4 linked regions of the Saccharomyces cerevisiae S288C genome follow. The gene in region 1 interacts genetically with each later gene. Each region holds a gene or a part of one and is shown in the gene's direction. Other genes may lie near its edges. The genes, in order: SET3, TCP1, MOT3 and SIF2.

Region 1 (7,034 bases):
TTGACAAACATACGGCGCAGAGAATCTTGGAAAGGATCCACGGTCATTTGGTCATTTTCCCAACCGAATGGTTAGCTAAAGAAGTTGAGAGTAGAAATTGGATTTTTAACTCGGATAGACTTTCTCCAATGGAAATCTACAATTAAGGGAATATAAAAACGACCAGGAACACACCATTACCTGTATTTTCCTTTTATCTGTTATAAGCATTCGACGCTGATACATAAACAGTTTTCATTATGCATTCTTTTGGTCCATAGTGTCATTATTGCTCTTATTACTCATTGCATTTTTATACTTCAAATATATATAATAATAATATCATTATGTAATTTATGTGCTTTATCTTAAAGAACCAAATTTTTTCTATTTCCGTGTTCAATTGCTTAATAATTGTAAAAGCTTAATTTCTTGGATAAGTCGATGCCAAATAAACTGATTAAATAGATTATCGATAATCCTAATGTTGGTAAAAGTATAAAGTTCAAATTTTTCAAGAATGGCAACTGGTTGTATCCATAAAAGGTTAAAATAAAGTAATGGCCAATAGCAAAACAATATAACGAATTACCAATGAGTAAGGAAATCCAGTTTTGTAAATTAATTATGGGCAGTAGTAAAAACTGAATGAAGTATAGGCACAGTAGGATGATTAAAAATGAATTACAATGAACGTCGAAACAATAAGCCCACTCTACCACACTATTTTGGCTCGATTTGAATTTAAAATGTGACCTATTCAACAAAAGGTAAAAAATAGTTGCCATAATAAATCCAAATATGAAAAAATCTAAAATCACCATCATTACCAAACTTTTGAAAAAATGACCTATAATGCTCAAGGCCCCCATATCACTGTCGTTGTTGAAACCTGAATTATAAATCGACCAAATAATAGAACTGAGTGAAATTAAGGCTATTTGGAAGATGAAAAAGGAAGGATCATCTCTCGCCCACTGATTTTTCGTCTGTCGCTGATAATATATTGATCTATAAGCTTTTCTTGGATGGAAAATCAAATGGAACATTTCCCAGCTGGCTGTCTCGAGATCTAAATTCTTTGGCGTTTTGAAAAGCCTCCTGATTACCATCGGCACAGATTGCTGACCGTAGCCTTGTCTTGCATCGTTTTCATTACCATTATTACGCCTCCTCTGGCCTTGCGGGCCTGCTGGCAAGTCGTTGGAATAAGTCGGCAAATATGACATTGATAAATCCGTTGACTAAGTAGTGGCAATCGAAAAATTATAGTGCAAATCTGTTTCTTTCTGGCTTTTTGCAGTTATTTCAACAAAATTTAAACCTGTTAAGTTTAATATTCTAGTAAGGTCTATTGGTAATTATTTAACCGTTGGAAGTGATCGTTGTATGAAATTATCATTCTAGATTACAGGTAGTCGATACCTTTTATTATAATACTTTTATAGCATGGTATATTATTCGTAAAAAAACATTAAAGACATGAAACTAGTCCTTTGTTTCCCTGGAAATTGTTCAACCAACTCATTCATCTTACTATGTCATGATAGATGCATATCATTATCAACGACATGCTATATACAGAAAGTAGTAATAAAGGACCTTTCTAGTAAACATGATTTAAAGCGTATATACAACAGTTTTAGATCGTACTTCACAAAATACGAGAACTGAATCATGTCAGTACCTAATTCCAAAGAGCAGTCGCTCCTAGATGATGCATCCACATTGTTATTGTTTTCAAAAGGGAAAAAAAGAGCTGAAGAAGCTTCAAAAATAGGCTCTAAAACAGATACTATTGAGCATGATGAGTCTCATGAGAGAGAAAAAAAAGGAGCAATAGAAATGGCAGCAGCAGCACTGGCTACAGCATCCACAGTTTCTTTACCTTTAAAGAAAGCTACTGAGCAATCGGCGGCAGAAGCAGCAACATCCACGGCAGCAAAAGAAGAGACCGAAAATCAACCTCAAAAGCAACCTCAATGGCCGGTACCTGATTCGTATATAGTCGATCCTGACGCGGGTATAATTACATGTATATGTGATTTAAATGATGATGATGGATTCACTATCCAATGTGACCACTGCAACAGATGGCAGCATGCTATTTGCTATGGCATCAAAGATATTGGGATGGCACCTGATGATTACCTTTGCAACTCATGTGATCCAAGAGAGGTAGACATTAACTTGGCTAGGAAAATACAGCAGGAACGCATAAACGTAAAAACAGTAGAACCTTCTTCATCAAACAATAGTGCTAGTAATAAGAATAACGGTCGGGACAGAGCATCGAGTACAACTATTAGTGACGTTGGCGATAGCTTTTCAACGGATCAGGACAATACTAACCACAGGGACAAAAGAAGGAAAAGAAACCCATCAAATAATAGTATAGACTCCAAAAACGAAAGCGCTTCTGTCAATTCTTCCGATGGATTGACTTCTATGCCCAAGAAAAAAGAGCATTTCCTGAGTGCAAAAGACGCATATGGTGCAATATACTTGCCCTTGAAAGACAATGTGTTTAAAAGTGATCTGATCGAACCGTTCTTAAATAAACATATGGATGATAATTGGGTCATACAATATCCTCATAAGACCTTTAAATCTGTGTCAATTGAAGTCAAACCGTATGCTGACATTGCATATTCCAGGACTTACCCAGGCTTCACGAAATTAGGAGTTTATCTCAAAAAGGACTGCATAAAAGGTGATTTCATTCAAGAAATTTTAGGCGAATTGGACTTCTATAAAAATTATCTCACTGACCCACGAAACCATTACAGGATATGGGGTACAGCTAAAAGAAGGGTCATTTTCCATTCCCATTGGCCGATATATATAGATGCACGCTTATCAGGCAATTCAACTAGGTATTTGAGAAGAAGTTGCCAGCCGAATGTTGAATTAGTAACTATAAAACTGCAAGATACAGACAATAGGAATGACAAAAGCAGTGGAAGAAAATCAAGTAGAATAAAATTTGTTTTAAGAGCTTTGAGAGATATTTCAGAGGATGAGGAGTTATACATCAAATGGCAGTGGGATTCAAAACATCCTATATTAAAATTAATAAAGGGCATGACAATAGACTCTTTAGATGACCTTGAAAGGTATGGGCTGATAAATTCGGTAGAAACAATTTTGAGTAACGGCGAATGCGGCTGTGGAAATAATTCTAAAGATTGTTATTTATTGAAAGTGAAGAGATACGCGCAAAGTCTTTATAAATCTGTGAAATCCAGAGGAAAAATGAACAACAGATATAAATTAAATGAAATTCTCAACCAATATAATTGCAAAAAGAGACGTGAGCCACCAATTTTGCATAGGCTAGAAGAAAAGGCTCAAAATACTATAGAAAGAGCTCCAATACTTTTGAATAATTTTTATCGACAAAAATTCCTTAATCGAAATAATGGTCCAAAAATTCCTCAAAAGAATACTATTGATAGTACAAATAATCCTGATGATATTGCAAAACCCTTCAAATTCGCCTTATTTGCACAACATTCTTCTAATATTTCTGTTCCCAAAAAAAATGAAACTTCAGAAAAACCTTTAATAATTACGAAGAGCACAGATTATGACGAATCACACATTACCAATATTGAAGAATTACCAATTCCAGTTCTTTTACCAATAAACAAGACGTCAAGGCAAACTGCAAACGATGTCGAAGAGAGTCAATCAAAGAATGAACATAAATTAAGTAGAACCCCTTCTCTTTCAAATTTCAATAAAGAACTGTCAAAGGAAGCACAACACAGTCAAGCAAAAACAAAAGAAATCATGACAGAAGCTTCGGTTAATTCAAGGCGAGAATCCACTCCAGAAAGTATAATGCACTTATCAGATTTTTCGTCCTCACAACTGCATTCGAAAAAGAAATTAAGCTTTGCGGATTACAGAAAAAAACTACTGAAATAAACATGGACATTTCCTTCTTACACCTATATAAACTTAAGTATATTCAAAAGTGAATATTCATTATTCTTTATAAGATTATATTCGGTTAATATTAAATTACAAGCCTCAATTAAAAAAGTATATATTTGATGAATTATAAATGACCTATATGCGAAAAAAGTGGAGCAATAAAAAATTGATGAATAAAGGGTGAAAATGTGACAATGTGAATGTTTTAGTTCAGAAAGCTTCTTTACTTCTTGACCTATATAATGAGTAGCCCTCCTCATTGCCCATATCATTCTCTTCATCTTCATCTTCGGAGTCTTCTTCATCGCTTGATATCTCGTTATCCATTCGATCATCAACACTGGTGCCTAGTGCCACTTCTTCGTCTTCGCCATTATTATCCAATGCGGATAAAGAATTGAAAAGAATAGTCTTCGGTCTTGGTGGTGTTTTCGGGGTAGTATACAATGGATTACCAGGTCTGGCATATGACTGGCCATCATCATTAGGATCCATATAGTCATCGTCATCGCCAACACCTTCAAAGTCAAACTGATGGTGAAAAATATTCTGGTCTTGCAGTTTAGGATCTGAAGGTTGTGACCTACTAGGAAAATGGTCTGGAGGGAACAATGAAGTACCCGATGTCCATTTGTCACTCCCGTTTTCATCATTGTCCTCATTATAGAGACTATTGCCATCCCTATGTTCAGATATTTTATCGGTAAACTCTGATTCGGCACTTTTGGATTTACCATCATCACTATCATAATCATCGTCGTTAGTCTCGACGTTATTATAGTAATTTTTATTATCCACATCACTATACTCTGCGTAATCTTCTTCATTTTCTTCATTCTCGTTATTATTGAAGTTATAATATAAATCCATGTTCCCAGAATCATGCCCGTTACTAAGAAGTTCATCGTTTTCTCCATTTCCGTAGTTTTCGTTGCCCTCTGTATCACCAATTATATCCTCAGAATCAGAATTCCTAATAACATCGTCATCGCTTTCTTGGTCATTGCCAAAATCTCCCAAAACGGTGTTATACTTCTCTCTTGTATCAGCCAAGATCGTTTCACTATATTCTTTCCAAAATGGTTCCTCAAGTCGATCTGAAACAGCGGTATTGCAAAAAGTTAGCTTCATTTCATCAATATACTCTTTGAACTTCGATATTTCTTCGGCAACTAATGTCAAATGACCCATATAACCATAACGTAAACCGGTCTTTTTTTCATAGTCTTGACATGCCTTATCCGCATCTACTATCTTTTTAGTTAGGTATGCATCAACCAAATAATCTTTCAAGAGGAACCTATTATAACCAGTTTTGAGGGGACCATTGAATATTTGCTGGGCAATATCAAAAATTACATTATGCAAAAAATTATTCCAAGGGAACTCAGTGAACATATCAAGGATACTAATCAGTATCTTAGTGTCTTCTAGAGCAATCTTCAGCCTGTCTCCAACTAGCGGTTTTTCCCTTAGGCATTCTCTCACGGATTCTGTGTCAGACAAGGTTTCATCATACAACTCTACTCCAGAAGCATCATTTTCTAGCCCCTCAACTACCTTTGCGTCTGATTTCACATCTAGTTTTACACTTGATACCCCAGTATCATTTAATTCATCTTCTTCACTTCCTTGATTATTTATTTGAAGAGCGCCTAAATTTTCTGTGATATCCTTCTCTACGCAATCCTTATCATAATATGATGATTTATTGTCCACAATAGCTGTTATATTTTCCTTTTCGGTTGAAGTTTCTAATTCTTTGGCCCTTTCTATATCACGTTCTTGGGCAATCATCTCACCATTGGGCTCATTTAGCAGCGTCATATTAGAACAGTGCAATAGTTCTGCAATAAGTTCACAGATTTTAAACCTCTCAAATCCCAGAGGTTCAATATTACCGAATGGCATTTCCATTAGTGGCAACTTGGTTTTATCCAGCATATCAGCAAAATCAGGCATATGCTTAGCAAAAAGTTTGACTAAATGTATCAAGTGAATTGGATCTCGATCAGTGGGAGGGTGACTTTCTAGGGTAGTGTAGACTAGTTGGATGAAATCATAATCTGAGTTATTCTTCCTGATCAACTCTATGATAATTCCAACACCATTACTTAAGGATGTACCGCCCTTTAGCATTATCTTAATCAACTTTTCTATCATTTCTTCTGATACTAATTGCCTTGTCAATTCATTAGGACCTATTCCCGAAGCAAGTTCATTGCTTGAGTTAGTGCTTAACGTGACGAATGCCTTAATAAAATCGCCTGCCGCAGACTGAGTGGAAATACCGTATTCTGGATTAAGATGATCTAAAAGTTTAGGTATTAATTCCTGTGATTTTAGTATCTTTATGACACCCGTGGGAGAGTCAGGTTTATCCGTCGAGATAACTTTCAAAAGGAAGTCCATCAAAGACGGATTGTCAACATGTGTCAAGAACCTTGCAACCAAGCTGTCTCGGCTTAATATAAACTCTAACATCCCCGTTATATCCATATCGAGAAGTCTTTCATTTATTTTCATGAAGTAGGTGGAAGCTGGTATCGGTAAGGGAGCTGGGTGATCTAGTATCGACCACAATCTACCAAGAAGATCCTTATTTTGCATTATTGCTGCGGATATAGGCCATACATCAGCCGATAAAATTTCAGCAGCTATCCTTGCCCTTCTAGTCTCCACTTGTTCCTCAGATTCCGGTGGCAAAGTAATGCTTGTCTCTTCAGAATCAACACTTCTTTCGTCCCCAGAGTCATGATCGCTATCATTTGTAGTTTCTTCTGAGTCGCCTCCTTCTTCAGCGTCCTCCTTTTTATCCTTTCTGTCTCTTTCTATCAAAATAGGATGATCGTTTACACCTTCAATAATCTCTGGCTTTTTAGCGCTATCTGTTTCTTCGTCGAGAATCTTCTCGTTGGTAACATATTCTATCAATTTTGATAAAACATCAGGATACTTCAAGAATATTAGTAGCTTGAAATTTGAACACATTAATTCCGTATACAGTTCGTCATCATCCAGCAAATCGTCTAAGACGTCCAAATTAGGTCTATAATTTTCATATTCCGATTCTGTAGTGGGCAGAGTATTTTCTTCTTCCTTCTCTTCGTTCT
Region 2 (6,641 bases), on another chromosome or scaffold:
TTCAAAGAATTCTCAGAAAGAGCTATTTTTTTTTTTAATAAAATTATTAGTACTAATTCCAGTATAAATAACAATGTTATTTACGTCTCTTTCGAAAATGCTCGTGTAGCTCAGTGGTTAGAGCTTCGTGCTTATAGCAACATTCGGTTTCCGAAGTTTCTGTGCCAAAGACCTTTCAAACAGGCCTTTAAAAGCAACGCGACCGTCGTGGGTTCAAACCCCACCTCGAGCACTTTCTCTTTTTTTTTCACACGCGTTTGCAACATGCCCGTATTACATGAGCTTATTTGACTTTAGATGGTTTTCAGTTCTTTTTTTTTTTTTTTTTTTTTTCAGTAGATTAATGCGAAGAGTTAAATCACCAATTCAAAGATGGCAGATGGACCACCTTGTGGGATAAGTATAAAAATAACTAAAAGTGGTCTTGTGTTAAAAATAGAATAGAAACCACTCATAAGGCAAAAGATGGCTGGAAAAAAGGGACAAAAGAAAAGTGGACTAGGCAACCATGGAAAGAACTCTGATATGGATGTTGAAGATCGTCTCCAGGCCGTTGTCTTGACAGACTCTTATGAAACTAGGTTTATGCCACTGACAGCTGTCAAGCCAAGGTGTTTGCTGCCACTGGCTAACGTACCTCTCATTGAATACACCTTAGAATTTTTGGCTAAGGCTGGCGTACATGAAGTTTTCTTAATTTGCTCTTCTCATGCCAACCAAATTAATGACTATATTGAGAATTCTAAGTGGAACTTGCCTTGGTCTCCATTTAAAATTACCACCATTATGTCTCCAGAAGCTAGATGTACGGGTGATGTTATGAGAGATCTAGATAATAGAGGTATCATTACTGGAGATTTTATTTTAGTCAGTGGTGATGTATTGACTAACATCGATTTCAGCAAAATGCTAGAATTTCACAAAAAAATGCATTTGCAAGATAAAGATCACATCTCGACAATGTGTTTGAGCAAAGCGAGTACCTATCCAAAAACAAGAACTATTGAGCCTGCCGCATTTGTCTTAGACAAATCCACCAGTAGGTGTATTTATTACCAAGATTTACCATTACCAAGCTCTAGAGAGAAGACTTCCATTCAGATTGACCCAGAATTGTTGGATAATGTCGATGAATTTGTCATAAGGAATGACCTCATCGATTGTAGAATTGACATTTGTACATCTCATGTACCTTTGATATTTCAAGAAAATTTTGACTACCAATCATTAAGGACAGACTTTGTTAAAGGTGTCATTTCAAGCGATATATTGGGAAAGCATATATATGCCTATTTGACGGACGAATATGCTGTAAGAGTTGAAAGTTGGCAAACTTACGACACCATTTCTCAAGACTTTTTAGGTAGATGGTGTTATCCCTTGGTCTTAGACTCTAACATACAGGACGATCAAACGTATTCTTATGAATCAAGACATATATACAAGGAAAAAGACGTTGTTTTGGCCCAATCCTGTAAAATTGGTAAGTGCACTGCAATTGGATCAGGAACAAAAATCGGAGAGGGTACGAAAATTGAGAATTCCGTGATTGGAAGGAACTGCCAAATCGGTGAAAATATTAGAATCAAGAACAGTTTCATTTGGGATGACTGTATCATCGGAAATAACAGTATAATTGACCATTCATTAATTGCCTCTAATGCCACGTTAGGGAGTAATGTACGCCTAAATGATGGCTGTATAATTGGTTTCAACGTTAAAATTGATGATAATATGGATTTAGATAGAAACACAAAAATATCTGCCAGTCCATTAAAAAATGCCGGCTCAAGAATGTATGATAATGAAAGCAATGAGCAGTTTGACCAAGACCTTGATGATCAGACACTAGCCGTTTCTATTGTTGGAGATAAGGGTGTTGGTTATATTTACGAAAGCGAGGTGTCTGACGATGAAGATAGTTCTACAGAAGCCTGCAAAGAAATAAACACTTTGAGTAACCAATTAGATGAGTTATACTTAAGTGACGATTCAATTTCTTCCGCCACTAAAAAGACAAAGAAAAGAAGAACGATGTCTGTCAATAGTATATACACGGATAGAGAAGAAATTGATTCTGAATTTGAGGACGAAGATTTTGAGAAAGAAGGTATTGCCACCGTGGAGCGTGCTATGGAAAACAATCATGATCTTGACACAGCATTATTAGAATTGAACACCTTGAGAATGAGTATGAACGTGACATATCATGAGGTGAGAATAGCAACAATAACTGCATTATTGAGAAGAGTTTACCACTTTATTGCAACTCAAACATTAGGTCCCAAGGACGCTGTGGTGAAGGTTTTTAATCAGTGGGGACTGTTGTTCAAGAGACAAGCCTTTGATGAAGAAGAGTATATTGATTTGATGAACATCATAATGGAAAAAATTGTAGAACAGAGTTTTGACAAACCGGATTTGATTCTATTTAGTGCATTGGTTTCTCTATACGATAATGACATAATTGAGGAGGATGTCATTTATAAATGGTGGGATAATGTTTCTACTGACCCTCGCTATGATGAAGTCAAGAAATTAACTGTAAAGTGGGTTGAGTGGTTACAGAATGCTGACGAAGAATCTTCCTCAGAAGAGGAATAAAAGTCCACGCAGTACCCTGCATAATCATGTATTACCATAAAAAGGCTTTAATATGAGAAAAAGGTGAGCGCTATATAGATTTAGTAATTTACATGTTACAGAAGCAAAAAGCAAATATATATATATTTTTTATCATATTAGTTTTTATCCTCAGTAGTACTACTGAAATAATAATCTCAGATTTTTTTTTTTCACTTGCCGAGGGACCTTGTCCTAAGTGGCAAAGAACTGAAAAAAAAAAAAATTGAAATGCGGTGGTATCACATGAAGAGTAAATAACTTAAGCAAAAGAGAGGCCACTGAGAGAGTACAAGAAAGGGACAATAACAATAGACAGAAGACTTTTATATTTGTAATAACTTAGCGATGTCCCAATTATTCAATAACTCGCGCTCAGATACCCTTTTCCTAGGAGGTGAAAAAATAAGTGGTGATGATATTCGTAATCAGAATGTTTTGGCTACTATGGCTGTGGCTAACGTCGTCAAGTCATCTTTAGGCCCCGTTGGACTGGACAAAATGCTTGTTGATGACATTGGTGATTTTACCGTCACCAACGATGGTGCCACTATTTTGTCTTTGTTAGATGTTCAACATCCAGCTGGAAAAATTTTAGTAGAATTGGCTCAACAACAGGACAGAGAAATTGGTGACGGTACTACTAGTGTTGTTATTATTGCTTCTGAGTTGTTGAAAAGAGCTAATGAATTAGTCAAAAATAAGATTCATCCAACTACCATCATAACTGGTTTCAGGGTTGCATTAAGAGAGGCTATTCGTTTTATAAATGAAGTTCTTTCCACAAGTGTTGACACTTTAGGGAAAGAGACGTTAATTAATATAGCCAAGACTAGTATGTCCTCTAAGATCATTGGTGCTGACTCTGATTTTTTCAGCAATATGGTTGTAGATGCTCTTTTGGCTGTTAAGACGCAAAATTCCAAAGGAGAAATCAAGTATCCCGTAAAGGCTGTCAATGTGTTGAAAGCTCATGGTAAATCTGCCACTGAATCACTGTTGGTGCCAGGTTATGCTTTGAATTGTACAGTTGCTTCTCAAGCAATGCCTAAACGTATCGCCGGTGGCAATGTGAAAATCGCATGTTTGGATTTGAACTTGCAGAAAGCTCGTATGGCAATGGGTGTTCAAATCAACATTGATGATCCGGAACAATTGGAGCAAATCCGTAAACGTGAAGCTGGTATTGTTTTGGAAAGAGTGAAGAAGATCATTGATGCTGGTGCTCAAGTTGTGTTAACCACCAAAGGTATTGATGATTTATGCTTAAAGGAGTTCGTTGAAGCTAAGATAATGGGTGTAAGACGCTGTAAGAAGGAAGATTTGAGAAGAATTGCACGCGCTACAGGCGCCACTTTGGTTAGTTCTATGTCTAACTTAGAAGGTGAGGAAACTTTCGAAAGCAGTTATTTAGGTCTTTGTGATGAAGTAGTTCAAGCCAAATTTTCTGATGATGAGTGTATCTTAATTAAGGGTACTTCTAAACATTCATCTTCTTCGATCATTTTAAGAGGTGCCAACGATTATTCTTTAGATGAGATGGAACGTTCTTTGCACGATTCTCTTTCTGTTGTCAAAAGAACGCTTGAAAGTGGAAATGTTGTCCCCGGTGGAGGTTGCGTTGAAGCCGCATTGAATATCTATTTGGACAATTTTGCCACCACAGTTGGTTCTCGTGAACAGTTAGCTATTGCTGAGTTTGCAGCTGCATTATTAATCATTCCAAAAACTTTAGCTGTTAACGCTGCCAAGGATTCTAGTGAATTAGTTGCAAAATTAAGGTCCTACCATGCCGCTAGTCAAATGGCCAAGCCAGAGGACGTTAAGAGGAGAAGCTACAGAAATTACGGCCTAGATTTGATTAGAGGTAAAATTGTGGACGAGATTCACGCTGGTGTTCTTGAGCCAACCATAAGCAAAGTCAAATCCTTGAAATCAGCATTGGAGGCTTGTGTAGCAATTCTAAGAATTGATACAATGATTACAGTGGATCCAGAACCACCCAAAGAAGATCCGCACGATCATTGATTCTTTGCGTAATCCGAACGAGATTCTGTATCTGCATGTAAACTAATAAACCTATATAAAATTTAATTATATTTTTTTCAGCTAGTTCTATTTTTGAATTTGATCGCTAACTCTGGGCAGTTGATAAGCGCTTCCCAGCTTTTCACGTGCGAGGTGGACTAATACGTAATAACGCGTACCTATTAGGACTTCGTTGAGTTGTTTTTCTTGTCCAAATGCAGAAGCGGGTCCCTACAAACTATTGTGTTTGTTCGTAAACGAGCAGGAACCCTGTTAAAGGAAAAAAGCTTAACGCTAGCGTTACATTTTAGTAAGGCGGCAATAAAAAAGAATGCGGAGTGTATTCCATGAATTCAATTGCGCTTACTGCTAAGCCTGTTTCTAAACATGATCCCCAGGGTGAATATCTCCCATAGTGGCTGTGTTATTCTGTCTAAATGTGGCAGCTAAATAAGGTTTTTTCCAAGCTATTTTTTTCTCTAAACGAGCGCACCTTAGCGGGATCGCGTCAAATTTTCGCCCAACGAATATTATTCTATTGTCTTCAGTGAATGTGCTTGTCGAAATCTATATATGCGCCGCCCTGGCAGGATCAGCAAATACAAGTTACTTGGAAAGTCGCGGCATAGAAAGTAGACACTTCTTTTGTCAAAGATTGATATTGCTTTCAGGGTGCGATAGTGCTGACTGTTCCTCTAAACAGCGATTTTTTACATACATTAACTTTTTGAAGTTGTAGGAACTATCTTTTCTCATTTATCCAACACTAAAACAAAATTGAGCTTTCCAGAAATAGTGAATCAAAAAAAGTTAAGTACAAATATTTACAGTTCAGCAGTATGAGCGAAGTCGGTATACAGAATCACAAGAAAGCGGTGACAAAACCCAGAAGAAGAGAAAAAGTCATCGAGCTAATTGAAGTGGACGGCAAAAAGGTGAGTACGACTTCAACCGGTAAACGTAAATTCCATAACAAATCAAAGAATGGGTGCGATAACTGTAAAAGAAGAAGAGTTAAGTGTGATGAAGGGAAGCCAGCCTGTAGGAAGTGCACAAATATGAAGTTGGAATGTCAGTATACACCAATCCATTTAAGGAAAGGTAGAGGAGCAACAGTAGTGAAGTATGTCACGAGAAAGGCAGACGGTAGCGTGGAGTCTGATTCATCGGTAGATTTACCTCCTACGATCAAGAAGGAGCAGACACCGTTCAATGATATCCAATCAGCGGTAAAAGCTTCAGGCTCATCCAATGATTCCTTTCCATCAAGCGCCTCTACAACTAAGAGTGAGAGCGAGGAAAAGTCATCGGCCCCTATAGAGGACAAAAACAATATGACTCCTCTAAGTATGGGCCTCCAGGGTACCATCAATAAGAAAGATATGATGAATAACTTTTTCTCTCAAAATGGCACTATTGGTTTTGGTTCTCCTGAAAGATTGAATTCAGGTATCGATGGCTTACTATTACCGCCATTGCCTTCTGGAAATATGGGTGCGTTCCAACTTCAGCAACAGCAGCAAGTGCAGCAGCAATCTCAACCACAGACCCAAGCGCAGCAAGCAAGTGGAACTCCAAACGAGAGATATGGTTCATTCGATCTTGCGGGTAGTCCTGCATTGCAATCCACGGGAATGAGCTTATCAAATAGTCTAAGCGGGATGTTACTATGTAACAGGATTCCTTCCGGCCAAAACTACACTCAACAACAATTACAATATCAATTACACCAGCAGCTGCAATTGCAACAGCATCAGCAAGTTCAGCTGCAGCAGTATCAACAATTACGTCAGGAACAACACCAACAAGTTCAGCAACAACAACAGGAACAACTCCAGCAATACCAACAACATTTTTTGCAACAGCAGCAACAAGTACTGCTTCAGCAAGAGCAACAACCTAACGATGAGGAAGGTGGCGTTCAGGAAGAAAACAGCAAAAAGGTAAAGGAAGGGCCTTTACAATCACAAACAAGCGAAACTACTTTAAAC
Region 3 (6,421 bases), on another chromosome or scaffold:
GTACCAGCCTTCGATGATAACATTTTTTGGTATTTCTTGGCTTGTTCTACTGTCAATTCATAATCTTCTTCATCCTCGATTTGATCCTTGATAACTGCTAATGGCTCATCCGAGGGCAAAAACACAGAAGGTTTATGTAGTTCGTGAGGTGGTAGTGAAGCAACCGTTTCCGGGTTCGTCATCGTAGGGGGAGTTTGTTTTGGGTGAATAGCGCTATTAGCGCTAATGCCCTCAGAATGAGATGTATTATTAAAAATCAATCTAACTGACGAAGGCTCCTGAATCCCTAAATTTTCGAGAGTCAAATTCTCATCCTTAATTGTTTTGAACTCTATTATCTTGGAAAAGACCTGGATCTTAAAATCATCTCCCGCAGCGCCGCTCATCTGTCGCAAGATAGGGGCAATTGGTTGGTCAGATGGCATTTCTTTAACCACGGAATCTCTTCCTGGGATTTGAAACCGTATTTTGATCGTATTGAATGGAATATCTTCGCGGTTGGTCTTATTCGCCACCGGAAAATTACTACTTTTAGATAATTCTAAGTTGACACCCGTTGGTAAGTTTAGAAGCCTCCATGGCAAATCTAATGGCACCGGTTTATCCAAATGTATCAATGACCAGTCGTTTGACGAGGTGTGCAGTTGAAAGAATTGTATGGATTGGTGTAACACATCGTTTAGTGTTGAATTCAACGAAACTTTACATTTGAAAAGTTGGAAGTTATACTTCACGGTAACCATAGGCATTGTATTGTGCGCTTATTAGTCTGCCTTGCTATTCTTCGCAGTACGTAGATTTATCTTAGTTTTTGCATTTTTTGGTTTTCTTTTTTTTTTGCCACACATAGTACAATAAAAGAGAACTTGAATCTTTGAAGAAACGTCTAAATTAACATCGAAGATAGAAGACAGGGAAACATCTAGGATTGCAAGAAATAGTGCTGAAATTTTGTAATAAAGTTGCAAGAAATAGCATCTAGCGTTTTATAAGGCGTACATCTTTCTTGGCAAGAGTTCCAAGAGAAAAGAGGAGCAAAACAGCGGTTGAGGCGCCCGCTATCTTGAATATTATACAGTTTCTTTAAAAACGCTTGTACAACACTGCATAAACATGGACAAATTATTGAAATTGTTTCAAGATATTTCCCATATCATATTCCAATAGCGTTACTCTCTCATCGCTTATTCTGGAATCATTATTTTAATAAAGATAACTCACACGATATACGTGTACTGAGCTGACCTTTATACCTACCCTTACCTGCTTATTCCTGATAAAAATGTTCGTGCAACTAATTGTTTGATTTCTCTTGCGGCCCGGTTATTCCGGAGTTGATACTTTTTTTCTTCTGTCTTAATTACGTTTTTTTCCTCTAGACTTTTTTGATCTGGTACAATTGAAAATGTATAAATCAACTGGACCCTAAAAATAAAAAAAAAAAACGCCCATTAGAAAAGAGGATATATTGAACAAAAGATGTTGAAAGAGCCCTCAGTTCGCTTGCGGGAGGCTATTATTGAAGGCAATTTACTTATAGTGAAAAGATTATTGCGACGGAATCCGGATTTGCTAACCAACATAGACTCAGAGAACGGATGGAGTTCATTACATTACGCCTCATACCATGGAAGATACCTTATATGCGTGTATTTAATTCAGCTGGGGCACGACAAGCATGAACTAATAAAAACCTTTAAAGGAAACACCTGTGTGCATTTAGCATTAATGAAAGGGCACGAGCAAACCTTACATTTACTTTTGCAACAATTTCCGCGATTTATCAACCATCGCGGAGAGAATGGTAGAGCCCCCATCCATATAGCATGTATGAACGATTACTACCAATGTCTGAGTCTGTTGATAGGAGTTGGTGCTGATTTATGGGTAATGGACACTAATGGCGACACGCCGCTGCATGTATGCCTGGAGTATGGCAGTATAAGTTGTATGAAGATGCTTCTCAATGAAGGTGAGGTGTCCTTGGATGATAATGTCAGGGACAAGGGAAATTGGAAGCCAATAGATGTAGCACAAACGTTTGAAGTAGGTAATATATATTCAAAAGTGTTAAAAGAGGTGAAAAAGAAGGGGCCACCGTTGGGTGCAGGCAAAAAACCAAGTTCATTCAGAACTCCTATACTAAATGCGAAGGCCACTTTCGAGGACGGGCCTTCCCCAGTTTTAAGCATGAATTCGCCATATTCGCTCTATTCCAATAATAGTCCGTTGCCGGTATTACCAAGAAGGATATCAACGCATACAACAAGCGGTAACGGTGGGAATCGGAGGAGTTCTATCACAAATCCAGTATTCAACCCACGAAAACCAACCTTGTCTACGGACAGTTTTTCGTCAAGCTCAAATTCCAGCTCGAGACTAAGAGTGAACTCCATCAACGTCAAGACTCCAGTAGGTGTGTCGCCCAAGAAAGAGCTTGTATCTGAATCAGTACGACACAGTGCAACACCAACAAGTCCGCACAACAACATCGCGTTGATTAATAGATACTTGTTGCCTAACAAGAGCAATGACAACGTGAGAGGAGACTCACAGACAGCTACAATCAACGATGACGGTGGCGGCGGCAATGGCGGTGATGCCACTATAGGAATGGGACTAAGAAAGGACCCGGACGATGAGAACGAGAACAAGTACAAGATTAAGGTAAACAATGGCGAGCCGAGGAGACGAGTGTCACTTCTGAACATACCCATCTCAAAATTAAGAAATAGCAATAACACGCGTGCAGAAGATTGAGAAGACTACTACGTATTTTTTTTTATATGCATCCTTTTTTCCACATATGTATGCGCGGTGCGCGCGCGCCATTAAAAGATTTTTTTCTTAGCTCTTTTTCTTTTTTCTTTTTCTTTCCACTGAGATGCGTTCTTCGGTATATAGTGAGAACACTTACAACTGTATACGAACATCGAAGGAGCACCTAACAGAAAGAAGGAGGGTCGCCATGGCGCCAATGTTCCAACATTTCTTAAACTTATGCGTGGAAAAATTTCCTGAATCCATCGAGCACAAGGATACAGATGGAAACGGTAACTTCACCACCGCTATTTTAGAAAGGGAGATTATCTACATCCCCGAAGATGACACTGACAGTATTGACAGCGTTGACAGCCTCAAGTGTATAAACTACAAGCTGCACAAATCTCGCGGCGACCAAGTGCTGGACGCCTGTGTGCAATTGATAGACAAGCACCTGGGCGCCAAGTATCGCCGGGCCTCGCGCATTATGTACGGCAACAGGAAACCATGGAAGGCAAACAAACTCGCAGAGATGAAAAGCGCCGGCCTTGTGTATGTCTGTTACTGGGACAACGGCGTGCTAGGTGCATTTACTTCATTCATGCTTACAGAGGAGACGGGTCTCGTCGAAGGTGACGCTTTACACGAGGTTAGCGTGCCCGTGATATACCTTTACGAAGTACATGTAGCTAGCGCGCACCGCGGGCATGGAATCGGTCGGCGGCTACTGGAGCATGCACTGTGCGATGGCGTAGCTCGACACACCCGCCGCATGTGCGACAATTTCTTCGGTGTAGCACTCACCGTATTCAGTGATAACACTCGGGCCCGGCGACTATATGAGGCGCTTGGGTTCTACCGCGCTCCGGGATCACCCGCACCAGCATCACCCACAATTCGTCACACGCGACATGGTGGGGGACGTGTAGTCGTGCCCTGCGATCCGCTTTATTACGTATATTGCCTTCACATGCCGTGAAAGCCGACAGGGACAACGCGCGATAAAAAAAAAATTAAAAGTAAAACTACGTACGCGGCGGCGCGACTCGAATCCTTGACTCCGACTGAGGAGACCCGAACAACGCTCCCTGCTCTCCGCCTTCGGCGCCTTCCGATAACTGCGCACGGCAAGGAGTAGTGGCGATAACGGTGTTTATTGCCGGTTTTTTCGTTTTTCTTCTTGATTTTCTTCTTTTTTTTCCTCAAAAGATGTGCTGTAGCCTCCGCTGTTGTTTTTTTTTATCCTACCAAGGCGCATCATCCTGTCATGATCTGCGCTGGATAGTATTTATACTACTACTCCGTCTGGATTTACTAAACTTTGTCTCTCTTTTGATGTAAAGTTAAAGAAGAATTACGAAAAAAGAGAGAAAAAATAGAAACAAATAATAGGAATTAAGGCCTTGTAGCAATCAAAAAAAAAAAGAAAAAAAAGGAATTTTTTTTGGAAGAAAACTTGAACAAAACAATTCCTCAAGAAGGAACAGGTACAAGAAAAGATTTAACAGAAGGAAAACTAATAGGCAACAGTAGGCAAATAGTAAAGGGACATATCATATTTGAGCAATGAATGCGGACCATCACCTGCAACAGCAGCAGCAACAGCGACAACAGCATCAACAACAACAGCATCAACAACAACAGCATCAGCATCAGCATCAACAGCAGCAGCACACGATATTACAAAATGTGTCGAACACTAACAATATCGGCAGCGATTCGCTGGCGTCACAGCCTTTCAACACGACTACTGTTTCCTCTAACAAGGACGACGTTATGGTGAACTCTGGGGCAAGAGAACTTCCAATGCCCTTACATCAGCAGCAGTATATATACCCTTACTATCAGTATACAAGTAATAACAGTAACAACAATAATGTGACGGCTGGTAACAATATGTCTGCGTCGCCGATTGTCCATAACAACAGCAACAACAGCAACAACAGCAATATTTCTGCTTCTGATTACACTGTCGCAAACAACAGTACTAGCAATAATAACAATAATAATAATAATAACAACAATAATAACAATAATATTCACCCAAACCAGTTTACTGCGGCCGCAAATATGAACTCAAATGCTGCAGCGGCTGCTTATTACTCCTTCCCCACTGCGAATATGCCAATACCGCAACAGGATCAACAATATATGTTCAATCCTGCTTCATACATAAGCCATTACTATTCAGCAGTTAACAGCAATAACAATGGTAATAACGCCGCTAACAATGGCAGCAACAACTCTTCTCACTCAGCCCCAGCCCCGGCCCCCGGTCCACCCCATCACCATCACCATCATAGTAATACACACAACAACCTCAACAATGGTGGTGCTGTAAATACAAACAACGCTCCTCAGCACCATCCAACGATAATAACGGATCAATTTCAATTCCAACTACAACAAAACCCTTCTCCAAATTTGAATCTCAATATTAACCCGGCACAACCTCTGCATCTACCTCCTGGTTGGAAAATAAACACTATGCCGCAACCACGTCCTACGACAGCACCTAACCATCCCCCTGCGCCGGTGCCTTCTTCGAACCCTGTGGCCTCGAACTTGGTTCCTGCCCCATCATCAGACCATAAATATATCCATCAATGCCAATTTTGTGAGAAGTCTTTCAAAAGAAAATCATGGTTGAAAAGGCACCTATTGTCACACTCGCAACAAAGACATTTTCTATGCCCTTGGTGCTTAAGCAGGCAGAAGAGAAAAGATAATCTTTTACAGCATATGAAACTCAAGCATACAAATTATTTATTAGACGAACTCAAGAAAAACAACATCATCTTTAACTACAACAATTCTTCCTCCTCTAATAATAACAACGACAATAATAATAATAATAACAGCAATAGCGCTAGCGGCAGTGGCGGTGCCGGTGCCGCGGCGGCAGCAGCAACAGCTCCCGAAAATGAAGATGGAAACGGTTACGATACAAACATCAAGACTTTAATCAATGATGGTGTACTGAATAAGGACGACGTTAAACGTGTTTTGAATAACCTTATTGTTAGTCACAACAAATAGATAGACTTTATAGACACACAAAATATCCCTTCCCACTCATTTAACAATCAAGATAATAGTAATAATCACAAATTTAGAAAGTAATTATGCATATATACATTATATACATATAGTTTATGTATGGTACGGAACTGATTACAACATCTCTCTAACAACGGCCTCGTGAGGGAAATCGTCATCTGTAGGATTTTTGATAATGTTCGTATTCTGGAACTCTTGGTGTTTAGTATATGCTACCGCATAACTGATTGACGATATCGTTAGCCCGACAGCTACCACAATTAGACTCGTAGCCATCACTGCAATGGAAATATACTGGATTATCGCCATTGCTAGATAGAAAAGACATCTCCATCCATTTGTTTCAAATCTCTTGATGAATTCAATGAAATTATCGCTAAGGGGACAGATTTTCAACAAAAATGGTATTTCAATGAATAGGATCACTAACCCTTGGATTATACTAATGATACCAAAAGCTATCACCCCACTAACGTGGAACAGATTCGCTATCCCGAGTGCAATACACAAGATTATGTTGATATATCCAAACCATCTACCATATACGCTAAAGTTGAAACTTTTCAAATCCTTCACCATACCACCCACATTGATGAAC
Region 4 (4,490 bases), on another chromosome or scaffold:
GTCTGCGTCTCTACATTCATACAAACTTGAATTCGAATTGCTAAACTTGAAAAGTAGCCTCTTAGTGGAAAATTCCTCTTGCGTGACAGTGACATCCTTTAAAGGATAGCACTGGCTTACTATAAAGTCATTTTGCTTATCTCTTGATTTATCGGCGATAAGTACCAAATCATTCAAAATGAAAATCTGTACCATCTGCAAGGGTTTACCAGTGGTAGTATTTAATTCCATCCAATTGGCACTATTCATTAAAATATGTCTTCCTTTCGTAGAATTGATAAACTTCTGAGCACCTTCAACGTTCTTAAACAGCTGATCCAGTTCCGTATCCCAAAATTTCTCTAATATCAAGACGCTCGATCTGTCCCTCCTCATGAGATTCCCATTTTGTCCTGCTTTCAAAGGCGGAAGTAACGCTGGACTATTAGAATGACTTTCAACATTGTTAAAATTGCCTTGTCTCTCTTGATCTATTTGATCCTGCAATTGTAACCTTTTTTCAGCTATTTTGGTGCACTGATCCAAAACCTCGTTTAAATCATTTATATTTGCTCTAACCCTTTTAAGCTCCAACATAGCAACATTTAGGTCGTTGTTTACCGTCATGATTTCGTTATATGATTTATTGATATTTAACTTTACTTCTTCTTGGACCTGTATCGATAAATCTGTTAAATTTGAGGTAAATTTATCAATAGTAATGGCACTCGCATTGCCTAGTTTATCATGAACAAAATCTTTAGCATTAAAATGCGGGTTTGCCAACATCTTTCTTAGCGACGTGCTATTATTGAAAGGATCATTACTGCCGGAAGGATTGACAGTATTTCGCATTGCTGATCTAGCAGGCACCTTATTATAGGAGCTGTCGTTCAGGGAGAGATCGGCAGTTGAAAGATTTAAACTGTTGGAAGGGCCTTTAGAGCTTACCGATTCGTTCTCAGTGGTGAAACTACTATTATTATGACTACTATCCACATTATCATTGGGAACTATCATGTTTGGCATATCAGGTAGGGGCATTGAGTAATCTAGTGTAGGTGGAGCATAATTTGTATTATGAATTGATAGTCTTCTCTGCATTGAAGTTGCTACCCTACTTCTCTCCCTTGCATTGATTGTTGGTAGCGTATAACTGGTAGCCGGATCCTTGAGATCACTATAAGGGTTCTTTTTTGTTTTTTGTTTAGGCTTAGCAGGCGATGGAGGTGTCTTTTGCTTAGCAGGAGAGCTTGCAGACTTCTTTACATGCTTCCAATTGTTTCTGGCCTTCTTCAAAGAAAACTCAACCATTTTCACAGTACAAATATTTCAACTTTCAGTCTCTTACCTGGTCTAATATGAAGGCTTTTTGTTCATTCGGCTTTGCTCAAGGTCTTACAAATATACTATTAACTGCAGTCTCTAGTCTCTTTTTCCAGTCATCTATTTTCATGGAGCGGAACTTAGCAAACGAGAAATAAACAAAAATGATTAGGAATGTATTCATGTTGAAAAGGTTATGAGATATGCAAGACCATTCGTTTTGATTTGCAATTAGTGAGAACAATTTAAACACCTTGGTGCGAAATTGAAGGTTTTTTTTTCCAAAGAAGTGTACAGCCCACACTAACAACTGCTAACTCAGATAAAAATAACAGAAACAAAAAAAAGGTAGGGAAGGCCCATCACACGGAAAATGAGTATAACAAGTGAAGAACTAAACTACTTGATATGGAGGTATTGTCAAGAGATGGGACACGAGGTGAGTGCATTAGCATTGCAGGATGAAACAAGAGTATTGGAATTTGATGAGAAGTATAAAGAACACATTCCTTTGGGTACACTGGTGAATCTAGTACAAAGGGGAATCTTGTATACAGAAAGTGAGTTAATGGTTGATAGTAAAGGTGATATCAGCGCTTTAAATGAACATCATCTTTCTGAAGATTTCAATTTGGTTCAGGCGCTGCAAATAGATAAAGAAAAATTTCCTGAGATCTCTTCTGAAGGAAGGTTCACTTTGGAAACCAATTCCGAGAGTAATAAAGCAGGTGAAGATGGCGCTAGTACTGTTGAAAGAGAAACCCAAGAGGACGATACTAATTCTATTGACAGTAGTGATGACCTAGACGGATTTGTCAAAATACTGAAGGAGATAGTAAAATTAGATAATATTGTTTCCTCCACTTGGAATCCATTGGATGAATCTATACTCGCATACGGTGAAAAAAATTCTGTTGCAAGACTAGCGAGGATAGTAGAAACCGATCAAGAAGGGAAAAAATACTGGAAACTCACGATAATAGCGGAGTTGAGACATCCTTTTGCTCTGAGTGCAAGTAGTGGTAAAACGACGAATCAAGTCACATGTCTTGCTTGGTCACACGATGGTAATTCAATTGTCACGGGTGTAGAAAATGGTGAGCTAAGACTATGGAATAAGACGGGGGCACTTCTGAATGTTTTAAATTTTCATAGAGCACCTATAGTATCCGTTAAATGGAACAAAGATGGAACACATATCATATCCATGGACGTGGAAAATGTCACTATACTCTGGAATGTTATAAGCGGGACCGTCATGCAGCACTTTGAATTAAAAGAAACCGGTGGCTCATCCATCAACGCAGAGAACCATAGTGGCGATGGTTCACTTGGGGTTGACGTTGAATGGGTAGACGATGACAAATTTGTCATTCCTGGCCCTAAAGGTGCTATATTTGTATACCAAATTACAGAAAAAACGCCCACTGGTAAACTTATTGGACACCATGGACCTATCAGCGTTTTGGAGTTCAATGACACCAATAAACTTCTACTTAGTGCCTCAGACGATGGTACTCTAAGAATATGGCATGGCGGTAACGGCAATTCTCAGAATTGCTTCTACGGACACTCACAAAGCATAGTATCGGCATCATGGGTCGGTGATGATAAGGTAATATCCTGCTCGATGGATGGCTCCGTTCGCCTATGGTCGCTGAAGCAGAATACGCTATTGGCTCTATCAATCGTGGATGGTGTCCCAATTTTTGCTGGAAGAATATCACAAGATGGACAGAAGTACGCAGTTGCTTTCATGGATGGGCAGGTAAACGTCTACGATTTAAAAAAACTGAACAGCAAGTCACGAAGTCTTTATGGTAACCGTGATGGGATTTTGAATCCATTACCAATTCCCCTCTACGCTAGCTACCAAAGCAGCCAAGACAATGATTATATATTTGATCTGTCATGGAACTGTGCGGGAAACAAGATTTCTGTAGCATACTCGCTTCAAGAAGGTTCAGTTGTAGCCATATAATAACTAGGTACAGTACATAAACAGATGAATTTTATCATTCTTATTGTTATTTCTTTGTTTACAAAAGGTGAAAAGTGAAAAATTTCGCAATGGAAAACGTCGCGGGCCGCCTTTGAGTGACGTTGTGCAGGAATCTCGAAGAGTCATCACTTTGAAGATAACGGCCGCTCGCGATGAGAGAAGACAATGAGCATTGCTTTTTTATAATTTTTTATACCTTGTGTTAAAATAAGTTTCTTTAATTAGTTTTCACCTCTTGGATGATACAACTGTAATTGATAAATAGGGGTAGCCATAAAGAACAGAAAAAAGCGGCGCAATAATTTCGTGTATTACAATTACAGTTAGTCATGAGTGAAGAATTTCCTACGCCGCAGCTTTTGGATGAATTGGAAGATCAACAGAAAGTTACCACGCCGAATGAGAAGAGAGAGTTAAGTTCTAATCGTGTGTTGAAGGATATTTTTGCGGGTACCATCGGTGGTATTGCACAAGTTCTTGTAGGGCAACCGTTTGATACAACAAAAGTTAGGCTTCAAACAGCCACCACAAGAACAACAACGTTGGAGGTATTGCGTAACTTGGTAAAGAATGAGGGTGTGTTTGCATTCTACAAAGGTGCGTTAACACCGTTATTGGGTGTTGGTATATGTGTCTCAGTACAATTTGGTGTGAATGAGGCGATGAAAAGATTTTTCCAAAATTACAACGCTTCTAAGAACCCGAATATGAGCTCACAGGACGTAGATCTTTCACGTTCAAATACTCTGCCACTATCCCAGTACTACGTTTGTGGGTTGACAGGTGGTGTAGTCAATTCATTCTTGGCATCGCCCATTGAACAAATAAGAATTCGTTTGCAGACGCAAACATCTAATGGTGGAGACAGAGAATTCAAAGGTCCTTGGGACTGTATTAAAAAATTGAAAGCTCAAGGTGGATTGATGAGGGGTTTATTTCCCACAATGATAAGAGCCGGACATGGGCTTGGTACATATTTTCTTGTCTACGAAGCATTGGTTGCCAGAGAAATTGGTACGGGACTAACAAGAAACGAAATTCCTCCTTGGAAATTATGCTTATTTGGTGCATTTTCCGGGACAATGTTGTGGTTGACAGTATACCCATTGGACGTTGTGAAATCCATTATACAAAACGATGATTTACGAAAACCTAAATACAAGAATTCCATTTCTTACGTAGC

Evidence for each region.
Region 2: mutations in SET3 (region 1) and TCP1 together harm fitness more than expected from each alone (negative genetic interaction), as found in Saccharomyces cerevisiae (3 studies listed by BioGRID, with this or other methods).
Region 3: mutations in SET3 (region 1) and MOT3 together harm fitness more than expected from each alone (negative genetic interaction), as found in Saccharomyces cerevisiae (3 studies listed by BioGRID).
Region 4: mutations in SET3 (region 1) and SIF2 together harm fitness less than expected from each alone (positive genetic interaction), as found in Saccharomyces cerevisiae (3 studies listed by BioGRID, with this or other methods).

The regions. Positions count from the first base shown.
Region 1 is NC_001143.9:494,456-501,489, reverse strand, and holds SET3 (histone-binding protein SET3), read left to right. Parts: upstream 1-1,656; coding exon 1,657-3,912; downstream 3,913-7,034. Other genes in the region: SPO14 (phospholipase D), read left to right, coding at 1-146; GMH1 (Gmh1p), read right to left, coding at 387-1,208; SAP190 (Sap190p), read right to left, coding at 4,132-7,034.
Region 2 is NC_001136.10:884,262-890,902, forward strand, and holds TCP1 (chaperonin-containing T-complex alpha subunit TCP1), read left to right. Parts: upstream 1-2,970; coding exon 2,971-4,650; downstream 4,651-6,641. Other genes in the region: GCD6 (translation initiation factor eIF2B catalytic subunit epsilon), read left to right, coding at 466-2,604; UPC2 (Upc2p), read left to right, coding at 5,490-6,641. UniProt on the Saccharomyces cerevisiae protein: Molecular chaperone; assists the folding of proteins upon ATP hydrolysis. Known to play a role, in vitro, in the folding of actin and tubulin. In yeast may play a role in mitotic spindle formation.
Region 3 is NC_001145.3:404,825-411,245, forward strand, and holds MOT3 (Mot3p), read left to right. Parts: upstream 1-4,329; coding exon 4,330-5,802; downstream 5,803-6,421. Other genes in the region: UBX4 (Ubx4p), read right to left, coding at 1-749; AVO2 (Avo2p), read left to right, coding at 1,480-2,760; NAT4 (N-terminal L-serine N(alpha)-acetyltransferase NatD), read left to right, coding at 2,885-3,742; TVP18 (Tvp18p), read right to left, coding at 5,938-6,421. UniProt on the Saccharomyces cerevisiae protein: Transcription factor that affects the expression of a large set of genes. Recognizes and binds to the consensus sequence 5'-[CAT]AGG[TC]A-3' in the promoter region. Plays a major role in the repression of a specific subset of hypoxic genes (e.g.
Region 4 is NC_001134.8:446,031-450,520, forward strand, and holds SIF2 (Sif2p), read left to right. Parts: upstream 1-1,678; coding exon 1,679-3,286; downstream 3,287-4,490. Other genes in the region: exocyst subunit EXO84, read right to left, coding at 1-1,293; YMC2 (organic acid transporter), read left to right, coding at 3,637-4,490. UniProt on the Saccharomyces cerevisiae protein: Antagonizes telomeric silencing in yeast. May recruit SIR4 to non-telomeric sites or repression.